Nothobranchius furzeri: one gene and its partner. The protein of the gene in region 2 purifies or fractionates together with the protein of the main gene of each other region. This does not show direct contact. Links are inferred from orthologs where the notes say so. Each region holds a gene or a part of one and is shown on either strand. Other genes may lie near its edges.

Evidence for each region.
Region 1: the proteins of stx11a (region 2) and vamp8 purify together in Homo sapiens (co-immunoprecipitation; 3 studies listed by BioGRID and IntAct, counting the BioPlex papers as one, with this or other methods). This does not show direct contact. The link is inferred for Nothobranchius furzeri from reciprocal best matches to the Homo sapiens genes STX11 and VAMP8.

Annotation. Positions count from the first base shown.
Region 1 is NC_091757.1:27,703,355-27,707,433, forward strand, and holds the start of vamp8 (vesicle-associated membrane protein 8), read left to right. Parts: upstream 1-1,276; 5' UTR 1,277-1,462; coding exon 1,463-1,477; intron 1,478-4,079. UniProt on the Homo sapiens protein: SNAREs, soluble N-ethylmaleimide-sensitive factor-attachment protein receptors, are essential proteins for fusion of cellular membranes.
Region 2 is NC_091758.1:20,330,098-20,334,343, reverse strand, and holds stx11a (syntaxin-11a), read right to left. Parts: upstream 2,808-4,246; 5' UTR 2,673-2,807; intron 1,555-2,672; 5' UTR 1,550-1,554; coding exon 680-1,549; 3' UTR 303-679; downstream 1-302. UniProt on the Homo sapiens protein: SNARE that acts to regulate protein transport between late endosomes and the trans-Golgi network.

The DNA.
Region 1 (4,079 bases), on a different chromosome or scaffold from region 2:
TCTGTGCTACAGGATTGTATTTGTATTTGCAGGAGTATTATTTGGATGTTGTGTTTGCATTAACCCCCCGTCTTGTGTCTTGATTTTTGTAAAGTCCCTTTTATTTTTGTTATGTCCCTTTTGTTTTCACGTATCTATTTTATGTTGTACATAGATGCTGTCATGTTATTCACTAAGCTGTTGGTTTTGGCTGTTGTATTGACGAGACTGTAATCCTCAACGAGAATATGTATCTTGTTCAATTATAAATAAAGAACATGGCGACTGAATGGGGAGTTCGCTGCGGCTCTTTCCTCTGTTCTAGATGACTTTGGCACGTCTTTAAAACAACAAGTAGAAGCACTAAAAGCCTTACTTCTAAGAAAGATGGCGCTGTCGCCAGACGCCATTTTTGACTACAGCTAAAAAACTACTGCATTGCGCGGTACTGTCTGCATTTCTGTCTTTTTTGTGATTGGTGATTTTTGAGCTTCCTAGTCCCGCCCCTCAAGTGCCTCTCTGCCTGTGAGGAACCAGACACTCTCTGCAGGATTAAACAGGACCAGTCTGGCAGGCCAGGCTAAAACCTATGAGGAAAACACACACACAGCACTCACTTATGAGTGTTATTGTCTTGTTTAAAAGCTGAACCACTTTCTATGTAACAACTATTATTACATTATAATAGTTTAGCACAGATGTCTGCTGTGGTGAATAAAAAGTATTTATTTAAAACTTAGGCCTACTGCTAATGTGAATTTGTTATGTTTGAATTGCTCTTATTTTTGCAGACGTTTGTTTAGTTGAGCATCGGATTAAATCACAATCCAACTCTCACCACTGACTCACAAATCAGCAAAGCTTCAGACAAATAAACGGATGAATAAATATTCTATGTGCCCTTGAAAGGTAATTACACTCAGTTTATCAACAGCAGACACAATACAGGAGTACATCTTCTAAATAAAAGCATAGATGTTTCACAATAAAACAAACGATGGCCCAGGTTCATAACAAAATGTATAAACGCAGAAGTAAAAATAGGAAGAGCATTAAATAATTAAATAAATAAAATAATACACAGTTTAAAAAACTTAATTAAAATCCAAGTGATTTGGTTAACACGTTTTATCTCCTGTTTTAAATTATGAAACAAATGTAGTACCGTTTTATTTTATTTAACTTTTCTAACGTAATGCTTGTAAATGTTAATAAACTTACTTTAAACCGTTTAATGAGCTTCACGTTTATCGCTTTAATGAAACCGGATGTGGGTTTGAGCTGAAAACTCGAAGCGAAGGAATTCAGAGTGAAGAGAAAAAAACAGGAAGTGAAACCAAGGAGGAGCGAGTGAGAGAGAGAGAGAGAGAGAGAGAGACACCTGTAGGAGCGTCAAACTTTTAGGTTTTACATCATTTTAAAGGTTTTAAACTAAAGAACCGTGTCTGTGGGTCTTCTGAAGGAGGATCTAGTTTCTGACAGGATGGACGCGGACCCGGTAGGTGATGTTTTTCTTGTTTTGTTGCAGCGACTCCATAACGAGGCGCCATGTAAGGAGCAGGTGTGTTTGTTCAGGTCACATGAAGAAAATGAATAATGTTTGAGTTGAGGGGACACCTGTAACTTACGACCCTGTTTTCCCTGAACAATGGCGTCCACTCGGAAGCTGCTCTGCGGTCCTGCTGTTGGACATTTACTTAAGTTAATGTTTGAAAGTGTGAAGTCGGTGTTTAAATGAGCGTTTTAAACGCTGTTGCAGCTTAAAGCTGTTTGTTAGCTCAAACTTAGCTAGCTAACTTAGCTCAGAGATGCTGTAGCATCTTGTTCCTGCTGGCTGGAGAGGTCAGAGGATCAGATACTTCAGAAGGTGGAAATAATTTGTTTTGGACTGAAACCTTGGTCTGTCCACATACGTTTGGTGTGTTTTCTAAGCAGGCGTGCAAACAACAGATGTAAAAGTAATGTTGTTGCTATTTAAGATAAACTGATCTGTATCATCTTATTTTTTCAGGGCATCATCATTGAGGCACTTGGATTCAATTTCTGTAGTTTTGAACCACTTTAGGACACAAACAAATGTTTTTTTATTCTGGTCAGCTGGATATCTAACGGTGGTTTTTGACTGTTAAATGTTTGTGACCAAGTGAGAAAAGCTTTGCATGCAAATCTGAAGCAGGACTGATCCTCTGCTGCTGCTGGGAACAGAGGTGTTTCAGTCTTTATAATAGAGACAGAACAGATTAAAGCTGAAAGATCAGGATTTACACTCCATTCAAATCTCACATGTGCTCACAGATTAAGGGAATTTCACATTTGACTAGTTAAAGAGTCGGCATTTTAAATGGCTCACTGAGGATATAGGTTACATTTATTTTGCAATCAAATGAAAGTTTTCCTTTAAATTTACCTTTTAAATCATAGAGACCACATCTGTGCCAGCTTTGTAGTTGCCTGCTATCTAATTTTATTTCCTCTTAATCAGGTTTTACTGGAAGACCCAAGTTCGTCTTCATCTGCTTCCTCTCCAGCACATGCTGAGCTCTTTTAAATGAATCCTACCATCTTTATGCAGATGGCATCCAACTGTACATCTCCTTTAAGAACCATGAGATGTCTAAGCTACAGCTGTTAGTGTTTCCCCTAGGGATTTTTCCAGCTGTGGTGGTGGGGGGGGTAATGACACGACTCACCTTTATGTTAATATTGTTTTATTTGATGCACTCCACTTTGAACTACACCAGTACAGCAACTGCTGCATTTTAATGACTAGTATTGAAGGTGAATACCTCTTATTTATTATTGGAAATCCTTACTTTGGTTAAATAAATCAGTTGTTGAACCCCCCACTCCTCTGTTTGGTCTCCTTTCTTATTACAGCCCACCACTTCCAGTCTGGGTTGTAACAATCTGCAGACAGATTTCTGAGCATCTCCTCCTTTGGTACACAGATCCTCACTGAGCCATGTACTGTGAACAAATAGTTTCTCCGTGATATTATCCAGCAAGATCTTGTTTTTGTCAAAACAAGGGTGAGGTAATGAAAAAATAGAAATATTTCAATAAATTAACATTAAAATTATTTATATGCATAATTAAAAAAAAACATGTTTTGAAATATATAAAGTGCACCAAACTTGACTCAGTCCATTCAACAATTCTAAATGGACAATTATGTAACTCATCAATTAATTATTTGAAAGGATAATTTGTCAATTAAATGCTGAAAAAAATAAACAATACATTAATGAGGCAAGAACTTTTTAAACTTGGACATACCTACACCCACAAGTCTATTTTTACCTGGTTAAAACCATCTAGCTTATGTGCACTTTTTAAAACACTGCCCAGCAAACATTCGGACGTTTAATGACAGTTGAACGGTCACAACTGTAAAATAATATCACAGGAATTAGGAAAGAATAACATGACATCAACTCTATGTCCCTTGGCCGGACTCGAACCTGGATCCTCCAGAGTGAGAGTCACCCGCTCTCCCAGCTGAGCCATGACAGCAACTGCTGAATCTCAGATTTTTTTATACAGATAGCTAGAGAGTAAAGTGCGGAGTAAACTAACCAATCAGAGGACAGGGAAGATCTGCCACAGGCCACGCCTCCAGAGTGCCAAAACTCCTCACAGCCGAGCGAGCGGAATTAGAAACCGAGCGCGCAGAGGCTGCCGAGCGCGCAGAGAGGCTGCCGCGCGCGCACGTTTTCCTCTGCCGTGTGCTCGTTGGCAACGCGCGCACGCAGGTTTGTCACTTGTGCACATCCTTGTGCGCTCACAGACACAGTTTGCTCCCTCTCAGTGCACAAATGACCTCTCGCCATGTATATTTTCGCTCGCGAGTCCCGTTCACACGCGCACTGTGGACCCAATGCGCGTGCACGGGTTGTGGCACGGGTCTGACGCGATACTCTCTCCCCCAGAGATCGGTGGACTCAGTGGTCTCCTTTAAAAGCAGCTGAAAACTCACCTGTTCAGGCTGGCTTTGGTGTGACCTTAACTATTGCCCTTTTCTTATTCAGCTCTTTCTACCAATTCAGCCTTTCCCAGCATCCACTGATTACCTCTTTTTTAAAATAATTTTCTGTTTTTCT
Region 2 (4,246 bases):
TTTGAGTCCCTAATCTGAGAAAAAATCCAGATTACCAAAGAACTCTGGTACCAACAGGAAGTCCCCTGCTCTGGCTCTGAGTGTTTGTACTGACACTGATTCAGGTACACGCCTGAGAGAAAAGCTTGTGTGGATGTAACATGACACCAATCAGACTCCAGACGCTGGAGCTAATCTCATATGAAGCAACAAAAGCTCCGGCATAAAGCTGGAGCAAAACGAGGCTTGTTGTTCAACACGAACGCAGCTTATCTCCCAGCTAACCACTAATATTTGTGTTTCTACACACTTGTTGGCCAACAGCTGCAGCAACGTCAGCTCCAGCTTTTGTTTTTTTTTCTCCCATTTTAATGGTCGCCGTTTCATTCCAAAGCAGTAATTTAGAAATAAATCAAGTTTTACTGAATGAAACATGCATTACCCGACATAAAAAGCTGCAATGACATATCTTTGATGAGACGTGGAGTCATGTGGGTGCTGCAGAAAGTAATAATCAGTTACGATCAGGAAATGCAACAACTCGATTACAACTGAATGCATTTGTATGTGAACAGCGCGGTTTGAAATGACTCTTCCTCCTTCTCAGACCAGCACAGTACGTGAAAATGAAGTGAGATGTCTGACGCTGACCCCGTAAAAGGAAAATTATAAAGAGTTCCAGTTTAAATCTGACCAAGAATCATTTACAGCACGGGAAGCAGCAGCAGAAGAGTTTCTTGCATGGGTTGTTTTCACTGTATTCTTTAGCCTGTGTGATTTGAACCGTTGCCTTGGCAACGTAGTCCTGAGTAGAGCAGACGTTTGCTTCTATGTTGTCCAGCATGCAGCCCTGCTCCTCCACCAGCTGAGCCATCTGGGAGAAGAGCTCGTGGATGTCTCTGATGCGACCCTCCAGCTCCAGCAGCTCCTTGTGTCTGCTCTCTATCTCGCTCAGAGCAGATCTGGTAGTCCTCCCCTCCAAAAGGAGATTATCCGAGAAGACGTTCCACTTCCCGCTCTCGATCATCTCGTCCAGCTGCTCCCTGGTCACCTCCTTGCCCATGATCTCCGCCTGCCTCTGAATGCGGGTCTTACAGTTTTCCCTCTGGATCATTTCGGCCTCGTTGTACTCAGACATGGCCTCGTGGAAGGCCCGAGTCAGAGAAGTGTACTGTGAGCGCACCATACGAGACAGAGCCGACGTGAAGCCGTGTTCCTCTCCAAGCTTTTTGCTCAGCTTTCCAAGCTTCTCCAGCTGGGCGTAGATGGCCTCCCCCCTGGCTTTGATGTCCCGGCCGAGCGCGTTAGAGTCCCGCTTGATGCTGCTAAACCTCCTGACGGACGTGAGGAACCGCGTGTTCTGCTTCGCCAGACGCTTCACGTCAATTTTCAGCAGCTGCAGCTCCTTCCTCATCATCTGGGCATCTTTGTAGATGCCGTCCATCACATCTTCACCTTGAAACACGATGGCCAGTGACTCTGCGACCTCCTCATCCTCAAAGACTGTGTTAAGCTCCTCCTCAGCAGGCTCCGGGGTGACGGTTTTCAGCTCAGATAGTCGGTCCTTCATTTCACCTGCAGCAAGAGTCAGTTCGATCTGTTATTTTCTAAAATATATGAAATGTTCCGTCGCTCTGAGATGAGCGGAAGCTGGACATATCTCCAAAAGACAAAGATCTTTGAGGCCCAGTTTGCAGTTTTGTCTTCTGAGTAACTTAAGAGACGAGGAGAGTAATAGAGTACAATAAAAACAAGATCTGCTTTCAGACTGACTCCAGATATCTGACACAACACTCTTTTAAGCAGCATCTTAGGAGGTTCCTCAGGTTGTCAGGAAATAATAACGCTGCAGAAAAGAGGAACAGTGCTGATCATCATGTGGCCATGATTATCAACACGAGACGGGCTTTTAAGCTTCCTCGAAATTATGTAAGATCTTCAAAGTGATCCGAGAAATGTGGTAACATTTAGTCTTATTTGGTGCATTAAACCAGAGGTGGCCTTCGGACAACAAGCTGGACCAGAGCCCTCCTAGAAAACACAGATCCTAATTAAACTCTTATAAGCTGCTATGACACATTTAGAATCAGCTTTTTGCTGCTGTTACTCACTGGCTGTGACGTAATATGGACCATTTTATTTTTGGAAACAATAAAAGTGGGGCAATCATTCAAAAATGTCTCATTTTTATCTTTATGCATTTTGGACTCGACCAAATTCTTCCTGGTTACAGAAATGATGATCAACCATATAAACACACCTAATTAAAAACCATTCAACTCTTATTATACTTATCTCGTCATAAAGCTGCTACTGCTCTCACTTTAATTAGTTTTGATTGAGTTGCGATAAGATAAAATAGGTGTGGACGCTTCTCTGGTTATGAATGAATAATTAAATAAATAAATAAACTGATGGTTTAGAAATAATTTCAGGCGGTAATGTCTACAAAAGGAAACTGCTCTGTTACTTCCTCAGATTGTGACGCTTTCAGCTGCTAGTTAGTCTCATCTGTCCTCCACATGCTACTCACATTGTGTAGCTACTTCAAACTATTTCAAGTATTTATGAACAAAACAGAAACGAATAAGCATCTAGTGATCTGATGGGAGGAGGTAAACGAAGAAACTAAGAGGAGTCTTGTAAACTACGCCAGGTTACTTGAGGCGATAAAACCAGAGAAGTAAACGTACCTTATGGCGGTGCCCTCCTAAAGAGAACTCTCCTTAGAAACAGAAGAAAAGAAAGACCCGTTTCCTCTTTGTGTCTCGGTTACATTTAGACATTTCACCAACATCAACCACAGTCTGAGTAAAGAGGTGTGAGTGTCACCAGCCTCCTGACGCCGCGAGACCAACTACGCGGAAGATCAAACCCTGCTTTGAGTTCAGGAAGAACTTCCATCAAAGGGGTCCGAATGGAAGTTCTTCCTGAACTCAAAGCTTTTACTTAAAATGTATTGTGAATAAGGGTGATTTAGAAATGTTAAAATGACGTTACGTAATTATAATTGATTGCATATATCATTTTTCTGAATAAACAAATTCATCAAATTAAATCAGCTGTTGTGATTTACTCAGATTTTCAGTAGCTTTTTAGCATGCGTTTTTTATTAGTATTTGTTTTTATTTTATTTATTTGAGTATTTCATACATTCATTGTGAAATCCAAAGACGTAATGCTTTTCCTGTTTGAAACAAAAAAAGGACCTTAAAAAATCTATGTATCAATGTTTGAGTGTTTATTAGATGCAATTGGGTGCTTATTGTTCTGTTGAACTCATAACCAATATTTTTATATCTGACATGTTTGATTAGTTTGGTAAAATTTCGTAACTGTTTTACATTGCCAAAAAACAAACCCTTCTGCCGTGTAGTTTCGCCCTGTGGCCGCCAGAGGGCGGTAGATCTGCTCTATTTGCTGTGCTGTGGCTAGCTGCTTTTAGCTCCTGCTGCAGCTCCTTGATTTAATCGAGTTGAACACAGATAACTAAAATTGATTTATTGCGTTTTAGTAGTTTATATAAGTGAAGACGCTCTGGCTTTCCTGTAAATTGGACTAAACGCTGTATTGAACGCTGCAGTACCCACTTGTTTCCAGCAGAGGACAGAAAATCTTTACTCTCCACAACCAAATAAAACAACAAATCCCACCTCTTCTGGATCTGTTCACATGCTACAACGTTTTGGAAAGACTTTAGCAGATTTATTATCGGACAGCTCTGCAAGGACTTCGTTTTAAAATGGGAAAATGCTGTATTTTTTTCGCAAGCAGAGAAAGGAAGATGTATACTTTGTTATAAATTTGTTAATCTAGCTAAATTCTATCTCCACAAATGCAAGTATAGTAACCAAAAACCTAATTTCAAGCACTATTATAGTGACACTCTATCTTGCATAAAATTGATTAGTGGATCACTAAACAAAAAAGCTTTAAAAACTATAACTATTTGCACCACCTGTAATTTATTTGGATGTGTGTAACATTTCTGTAGTGCACCCCCTGGCATATGTTTCATCTTCTTTGTTCAATTTTGTATGCAATTTGTTTGTATACTTATCACCTTGTTCAATAAAGTTTTGAAGAAAAAAAAGAAAAGAAAAAAAAACAAATCCCTTATAGTCAGATTATGTCTCCATCGGTCGTATCAAACAATAGATTATAAGTAATTTATTTAGACAAAAAACAAACAGTAAAAAATGCTATTCTAATCAATTACAGGTTACTTTTGCAGAAGTGTTCATTTTTAATTTAATTAATTTGAGTA